Ovis aries: one gene and its partner. The protein of the gene in region 2 interacts with the protein of the main gene of each other region in a pairwise test. Links are inferred from orthologs where the notes say so. Each region holds a gene or a part of one and is shown on either strand. Other genes may lie near its edges.

Region 1 (4,055 bases), on a different chromosome or scaffold from region 2:
GGGGATGCGCTCGGGGCGGGAGTCGGGGGCGCGCTCGGGGCGGGAGTCGGGGGCGCGCGCAGGGCGGGGGCGCGCGCGGGGCGGGGGCGCGCGCCGGGCGGGAGTCGGGGGCGCGCGTGGAGAGTCCGGGACGCGCGCGAGGTGGGAATCAGGGGCGTGCGCAGTGGAGCGGGGGCGCGCTCGGGGCGGGAGTTGGGGGCGCGCTCTGGGGAGTCGGGGACGCGTGGGGGCGGGGGCTTGCTCGGGGCGGGAGTCGGGGTTGCGCGCGGGGCGGGGGCGCGCGGGGGGCGGGAGTCGGGGGCGCGGGCAGGCGAGGCTGGGGCGCGGGCGCACTCGGCAGGGGGGGTGGGAGTCGGGGGCGCGCGCGCGAGACGGGGGCGCGTGCAGGAGGGGCTGGGGAGCACGGGAGAGCCGGGGGCGCGCGCGCGGGGCTGGAGTCGGGGCGCGCGCGGGACTCAGGGCGCGAGCAGGGGCGGGGGCGCGCTGGGGAGTCGGGGGCGCGCTCAGGGCGGGGAGCGTGGGCGCGCGCGGGGGGGCGGGCCGTGGGCGTGCGCAGGGCGGGGGCGCGCTCTGGAGAGTCGGGGACGCGTGGGGGCGTGGGCGCGCTCGGGGCGGGAGTCGGGGGCGCGCGCAGGGCGGGGATGCGCTCGGGGCGGGAGTCCGGGGCGCGCGGGGGGGGGCGTGGGCGCGCTCGGGGCGGGAGTCGGGGGCGCGCGCGGGGCGGGGGCGCGCGCGGGCGTGGGCGCGCTCGGGGCGGGAGTCGGGCGCGCGCGCAGGGCGGGGGCGCGCTCGGGAGGGTCGGGGACGCGCGGGGAGCGGGGGCGCGGGAGTCGGGGGCGCGCGGGGGCGTGGGCACGCTCGGGGCGGGAGTCGGGGGTGCGCGCAGGGCGGGGGCGCGCGCGGGGCGGGAGTCGGGGGCGCGCGCGGGGCGGGAGTCGGGGGCGCGCGGGGGCGTGGGCACGCTCGGGGCGGGAGTCGGGGGTGCGCGCAGGGCGGGGGCGCGCTCGGGGCGGGAGTCGGGGGTGCGCGCAGGGCGGGGCCGCGCGAAGGGCGGGAGTCGGGGGCGCGCGGGGGCGCGGGCGCGCGCGGGGCGGGAGGCGGGGGCGCGCGCGGGGCGGGAGTCGGGGGCGCGCGCGCGCGGGGCGGGGCGTGGGCGCGGCGCGGGGCGGGCCGGCGCGGGCGCGTTTCCGCCGTCGGGCCCGGGGCTCCGAGTCCGGCCGGCGGCGCGGAAGCGGCGGCGGCGGCGGCGGCGGCGGCGGCGGCGGCGGGGCAGCCATGTCGCCTTTGTCCGCGGCGCGGGCGGCCCTGCGGGTGTACGCGGTGGGCGCGGCGCTGGTCGTGGCGCAGCTGCTGCGTCGCTGCGTGCGGGGCTTCGTGGAGCCAGGTCAGCGGCCGGGGAGCGGCGGCGAGGGGCCGGGGCCGCGCGGCGCGGGCGGGGCTGCGGCAGGGGGCTGGCGGGGGCCCGCGTCGCCGGGCCCGGGGCGCGCCCTCCGCCCGTGCAGAGGACCCCCAGGTTCGGGGCGGAGCTGGGAAGGGGCGCGGGGAGGCGGGCGCGTCGGGCGCTCCCGGAAGCAGGCCCGGGCGGCCCGGCGGGGGGAGGAGGCGCGCCCTCCCCGCCGCCCCGCCCGCTCCGCGCGCGCCCCGGGGGCCGGGGTAGCCAGGGGGTCCCGCGCGCCCTGGCCCGGGGGTCGCAGGTTCGTGCGCGCCGCGTCGGGCGCTCCCGGAAGCCGGGCCGGGCGGCCTGCGGGGGTCGGCTTGGGGGAAGGCGCGCCCTCCCCAGCGCCCCGGGGGCTGGGGTCTCTCCAGGGGATCCGTGCGCGCCCCAACCACGGCGGGAGCCCCCCCACCCCACCCCGGGGTCCCTGCGCTCTGCAGACCCGCATCCCGGAGGGAGGCGGGGGCGGGGGGGCGAGATCCCGGCCCCGCGCGGGCTCCAGTAGGACGGGGCCTGCCCGGGTTTGCAGGGACTGGGGGGCTGGGGCGGTGTTGGGGGGCGCGCCAAGGGGCTGGAGGCGGCTTCTAGGGGGTCTAGGAGCCCTGGAGAGGGGAGCTTCAGTTTAGTGGCCGCCGGTTTCTCTGGCCTGCGCCACCTGCGCGGAGCCTCGGGGCCCAATCTTGGCGGTGCGGGGACCCATTCGCGTCTTCACGCATATTAGGGACCCCCCCCCCACCTCCCTTCCCCACCAATCTGGGAGGGAGTCTCCGTCTGTCTGGTCACCTCGGTGTTCTCAGGACTTCGATCGAGGAAACCGGTGTTTCTGTCTGTTCTTGACTTGCAGAGTGTCAAAATAACTCTAGGGTCTGTGTGCCGTAAATGACATGTCAATTTTTTTAGGAGAAAAACAGCTACTTTTGGAAACAAAGTATTCTCTGGGAAGCGCGGTGTCCCGTTACCTTGTAATGACTCTCTTTATTATCTGGGGTAAGAGGAGACAGAGATTCTTAAGTCCAACTGGGTTTTCAAGGGTGTTGGCATAGCCCACACCGCCCTCCCCCCCAACCCGGCAGCCTGTGGGTAACGCCCCTGACCACCCTGGCCACCCCCGGGAGATTGGGGTGGAAAAACAGAAAGGCTGTTACTATGCTTGTGCAAATGCCTTCCCGTGCCTCCACCTGCAGGAAGGCCCAGCAGGGCCCAGGCCTTGCACACCTGCAGCTCTGAGCACTTTTTTTCCTACCCTCCCTGGGTCTTCACCCGGGGAGATACATCTCGCAGGTTTATGTTGAGCTAAGCGATTAGTTTTCTGATAAACTGCATTTTGGTGCTGTTTTTTAAAAAGCACACGGAGCATGACTGGAAAAGACTGCAGAGGAAGGCAGAGTGGAAGGCAGAGTGCAGCTTTGGCACCTGGGCTGACTTGTAAACAGTGAAGGGCTCTGAAGAGCAGTCCCATGTTTGCCCCACACTGCCCCTAAGTTGCAGAGCACCCAGGGGAGGTTGCGGGCTTCCCTGGGGGCTCAGACAGCGAACAGTCTGCCTGCAAGGCGGGAGACCAGGATTCGATCCCAGTGGGGAAGATTCCGTGGAGAAGGGAATGGCCGCCCACTCCAGTATTCTTGCCTGGACAATCCCACAGACAGAGGATCCTGGCGGGCCAGACACTGAACTTTGCCCAGGTATGCAGCTAAATAAACTGTAACCCAGAGGCCCAGTTCAGATGCAGACTAGCTGGGATTTTGTTTTGTTTTGTTTCATTTCTAACGTCTTTATTGAATTCGTTACAGCGTTGCTTCTGTTTTTATGTTTCTCTGGTTTTTTGGTCCCTGAGTCATAAGGGATTTTAGCAACCCCACCCAGGATTGAACCCGATATTGAAGTGGCCAAGTCTTAACCATTGGACCACCAGGGGAGTTCTGTTTTTTGCCTTTAAACATCAGATGTTTTCTTTTTTAACAGTATGTATGGCCTATATAAATGTGCACACAGTATACAATAATTAATGTGGAAATATTACAGGGAGGAAGTCACCAATTCTGACTCCATGTTGGAAGCTATTTTCTTTGACTCGGTTTTTATTATTATAAAGAAAAAGAAGAAAAAAAAAGAAAGTCGCTCAGTCCTGTCTGACTCTTTACGACCTCATGGACTGTAGCCCACCAGGCACCTCTGCCCATGGGATTTTCCAGGCAAGAATACTGGAGTGGGTTGCTATTCCCTTCTCCAGGGGATCTTCTTGACCCAGGGATCGAACCCAGGTCTCCTGCATTCTAGGCAGATTCTTTGCTGTCTGAGCCACCAGGGGAGCCCCTTTATTATTATAATCGTACTCAGTGGCTTGCCCGCAGGACCCTGCCTCTCTGTTTGACTGTCAAATAAAGTGCCTTTGGGGGGCTTCCCTGGTGGCTCAGCTGATAAAGAATCCTTCTGCAGAGCTGGAGACCTGGGTTCCATCCCTGGGTTGGGAAGATCTGCTGGAGAAGGGAAAGGCTACCCACCCCAGTATTCTGGCCTGGAGAATTCCATGGACGGTACAGTCCCTGGGGTCGCAAAGATTCCTAAATGAATGAGCGACTTTCACTTAAAGTGCATTGATTTAGCTCTGAAGAGAGAGTTT
Region 2 (3,489 bases):
CTCGATGCTGTCCTGCAGGCTTCAGCTGCAAGCCCCTCTGTGGCTGAAATGTTGGAGTGGTTGCAGGACATTGAGAGACATTATCGGAATTCATATCCTTTGCACACGTTTCACAGAGCTGTTCCAGGAAGTCTTGTTAATTTCAGTTTTCACCAGATTACACAAAAATACATGGTGTAAGTCAGTTCTCTTTGGTTCCTGGACGTGCATTCCTCCTGCATCCCTTTGTACAGTGATTCCTCAAATCATTTATTGAGCAGATGCCACCTTCCAGGCTTTATTCTAGGTGGTAGGAGCTAGACATTAAAAAGGGGAAAATATATAAAATGTCAGATGATGTTAAGTGTCTTGAAGAAAAATAAAGCAGGGATTGGGGAAAGCAAGGGTTAAGGGTGGGCTTGTAGTTTTAAATAGGGTGGTCAGGGCAGGCCTCACTGCCCTGAAAGTGGTTTCTAAGAAAAGATGTGAAGAGGGTGAGGGGAAGAATCGTGTGGATGTTTGGGGGAAGAGTGTTCCAGGTAGAAGGAGCAGCAAGTGCAAAGGGCCTGAGGTGACAGTGAACTTGGTCCGTTCAGGAAATAGCAAGGCAGCCAGTAGGGCTCGAGCCAAGTGGGCCTGGTCTAACAGGTGATGCTGTCAGGAGACAGGGCTAGGGCTGGTAGGGCCTCTGAGGTCTTTGGAAGGAGTTGGGCTTTTATTCTGAGAGAGACACAAGCTGTAGAAAGTTTTCAGTAGAGGAGTAATCTGATCAGACCTATGTTATCACCCATCTGTGTTCTGAGGGAAGACTTGGGTGGAAGCCAAAAGACCGTTTCACTGGAGTCCGCTCCCTTTTTCTCTCTAGTCTTGCCCGATAGGCGCGTCTACTCTCTGGCTGGAGTTTCTACCTTCATTTATTCTTGCCTCTAGTTTTGATTTTCAGTTTCCTGCAGCTGCCTCCTGACTGGAATCTCATGGAACTGCAGGCTCAAGTGGATGGAGATCAGCCCCCACCCCATCAGCTCCCTTCTTCAGCTGTAGCGTCACGTAGTCTGTAAACCGGAGGGTTGCCCCCGAGCCCACTGTTTGCTGATGGCATCGGTAGCGGCGCTGGCTGCGCTGGCGGCAGCAGCCAGGGCAGGCGTCATGAGCTCTTCCTGTGTGCCGGTGCTGTTGGAAGGGTGTTTGGCTCCACTGTCCAGTCCTTCCGCTCTGTTTCCTTGGTGTTTCTTGGAGATCCCTTCTGTATCCCCACTGCCTGTGCCACAGTCTCACTTGGATCCTTTGTCGCATGCCATCTCTAGGCAGGTTTCTCTGACCCTGGCTTCTTTCCTTAGAAGGAAGAAGCTACCTCGAGGTCGTGGCCACACTACAGGTTTATCTTCAGGAGTCCCTGTTCTGATCCAACTGGGTAGGGCTTCTCCGTAGCTTCTTGTGTCCCGGGGGTGAGACCCCGCACACTGGTCTGTGTCTTCTCCCTCCACCTGCCTGCTCAGCTGCCTTGCCTGCTCCCTACACACGATTCCATTCTGCATCTCGTTGGAAGATGTACTGTCCTGAATCCATTCCGTGCTTCCCCTCTTCTTTGTCTTGGTTTAAGCTCTTCCTACCAGCCGGAATCTTCCTACTGTCCTCTGAAGCAGTGGTTCTCCACCCTTCTTGGCGCTGGGGACTGGTTTTGTGAAAGTCAGCTTTTCCACAGGGACGGTTCAGATGGTAATGCGAGCAGTGGGGAGTGGCAGGTGAATCTTCGCTTTCTGGACCACCGCTCACCTCCTGCTGGGAGGCTCAGTTCCTAACCCGTCTGGCCACAGACGGGTACCAGAGATTGGGGACCCCTGCTCTAGGGCGGATGAATTTATCCTGTGAACTTCCACTGAGTTTTATCTCTTCCCATTTAGAGTCTTTTCAGTTTCTGTTGTGTTTTTTTCTCACCACAGTGAGATCCCAGTTTGCAGGGCAGTGTTTCATCCCTTCCCTGTAGCCCAGAACCTTGTATATAGAGGGGCTCGGTAAAGATCTGTAGCAGAGGTGAGCCTACTGCTGCTGCTGCTAAGTCGCTTCAGTCATGTCCGACTCTGCAACCCCATAGATGGCAGCCCACCAGGCTCCTCCGCCCATGGGATTCTCCAGGCAAGAGTACTGGAGTGGGATGGAGGTGAGCCTGCCCACCTGGTAAATGTAATGATAGCTGTGCTTTTGCTTTTCTAGCTCCTGGGAATGCTCTCCAGGGTATTTTCTTCCTTCAGCACATTTCATTTTCTTTTTGAGCACCTTCCTTAACTCCCAGGAAAGTACCTAAAGAGGAAGTACCTCCTGTCGTCAATCCAATGGGAAGACTTGGCAAACATCCAAGCTTTGCCCAGAGCCTGGGACCGAATCTCAGAAGATGAACACCCGGACCTTGTACGAGGTGCTGGTTTTCATGCAGTCGTTCGTGTCTGCTCCCCTCCTTTGTGTGTCTAGCCTCTTTGGAATCACGAAGAGGTTCCCCCTCCTGGTGCCTCTAGCTTTTACAGATCTGGTGTTTCGTGTTTTCTGGAGAGCTGGTATGCCGCATGTTCTCTCTCTTCCTGTTCTAGATGTCATGTTGAATGTTTCCTTCTTCCTGGAAGAATGAAGAGGCCATGTGTTTATCGGGAGACTCGGGGGACACAGATGAAGACCGACATTGCTGCCCTCTTGTATGTCTAAAAAATGTCAGTACTGCGTCCTGACTTACTGGAAATGTCAGTGCCCAGCGCCTGAGGACTGGCTCTTCAGCGGATTCTGCTGGACATTCCTGATGTTGGGGCTGCTTCATGCTGGGTCATGGGTGAGGGTACATGGTCACACCTTGCCCTTCCCTAAGACTCAGGAGAGTGGACAGAGGCAGAGAGGATGCAGGAAAGGTGGTGCAGAAGAACACCAGGGACAGAAGCAACAGCCACAGAAAGGGCTGGTAAGAAAGGAAAGGGCCAGGGTAGAGAGTTGGCACCACCCCCAGCATCATCCAAGACTCTCAGCCTCATTGACACCAGGTCCTAATTTCCTCTCTTTTTGTCAGTACCTGACTCCTTGATGGAAAAAAATGTCGCTTTGATGATTTAAAGAAGTGAAGGTGATGTTGATGGAAAACTCATTGTCTTCCAGTTGCAACGGCTCCTTGTCATCAGGACACTTTCTAGAGCATTCCACCAGGGGGAGGTGGTGTAGCATGAATTCTGAGTGTTTTGCATTTGGAACTGTTCCCTTGTTGCTCTTACTGACAGTAAGTAACTGGGGATAGTGGGGCTCTTAAAATAACATGGTTTTCTTTTTACCAAAGCCGGCAGCCAATTTGCTACAGGCCCCTGATCTTGGAGTAGCTGCATGGATGGGAGGTCCCCAGTCCAGAGTCAGGCAATCAGGATTGTGTTTCTGAGGCCCAGTGCCTTAATCTGTGAAATGGTTGTGATCCTTGCAGACCTGTCAGCTTCCTGGGCTGGTTAAAAATCTTGGTTATTGGATGTAAAGGGACTTAAGAAAGAA

What was found.
Region 1: the proteins of AIRIM (region 2) and E3 SUMO-protein ligase ZBED1 interact in binary tests that used the Homo sapiens proteins (3 or more experiments, as listed by UniProt). The two-hybrid records come from large-scale screens. The link is inferred for Ovis aries from reciprocal best matches to the Homo sapiens genes AIRIM and ZBED1.

Annotation. Positions count from the first base shown.
Region 1 is NC_056080.1:6,131,603-6,135,657, forward strand, and holds the start of E3 SUMO-protein ligase ZBED1, read left to right. Parts: upstream 1-1,192; 5' UTR 1,193-1,275; coding exon of another isoform or gene 1,276-1,384; intron 1,385-2,037; exon of another isoform or gene 2,038-3,117; intron 3,118-4,055. Other genes in the region: dehydrogenase/reductase SDR family member on chromosome X, read left to right, coding at 1,276-1,384.
Region 2 is NC_056054.1:12,495,774-12,499,262, reverse strand, and holds part of AIRIM (AFG2-interacting ribosome maturation factor), read left to right. Parts: coding exon 1-92; intron 93-2,273; coding exon 2,274-2,445; 3' UTR 2,446-2,561; coding exon of another isoform or gene 2,562-2,599; 3' UTR 2,600-3,489. UniProt on the Homo sapiens protein: Part of the 55LCC heterohexameric ATPase complex which is chromatin-associated and promotes replisome proteostasis to maintain replication fork progression and genome stability.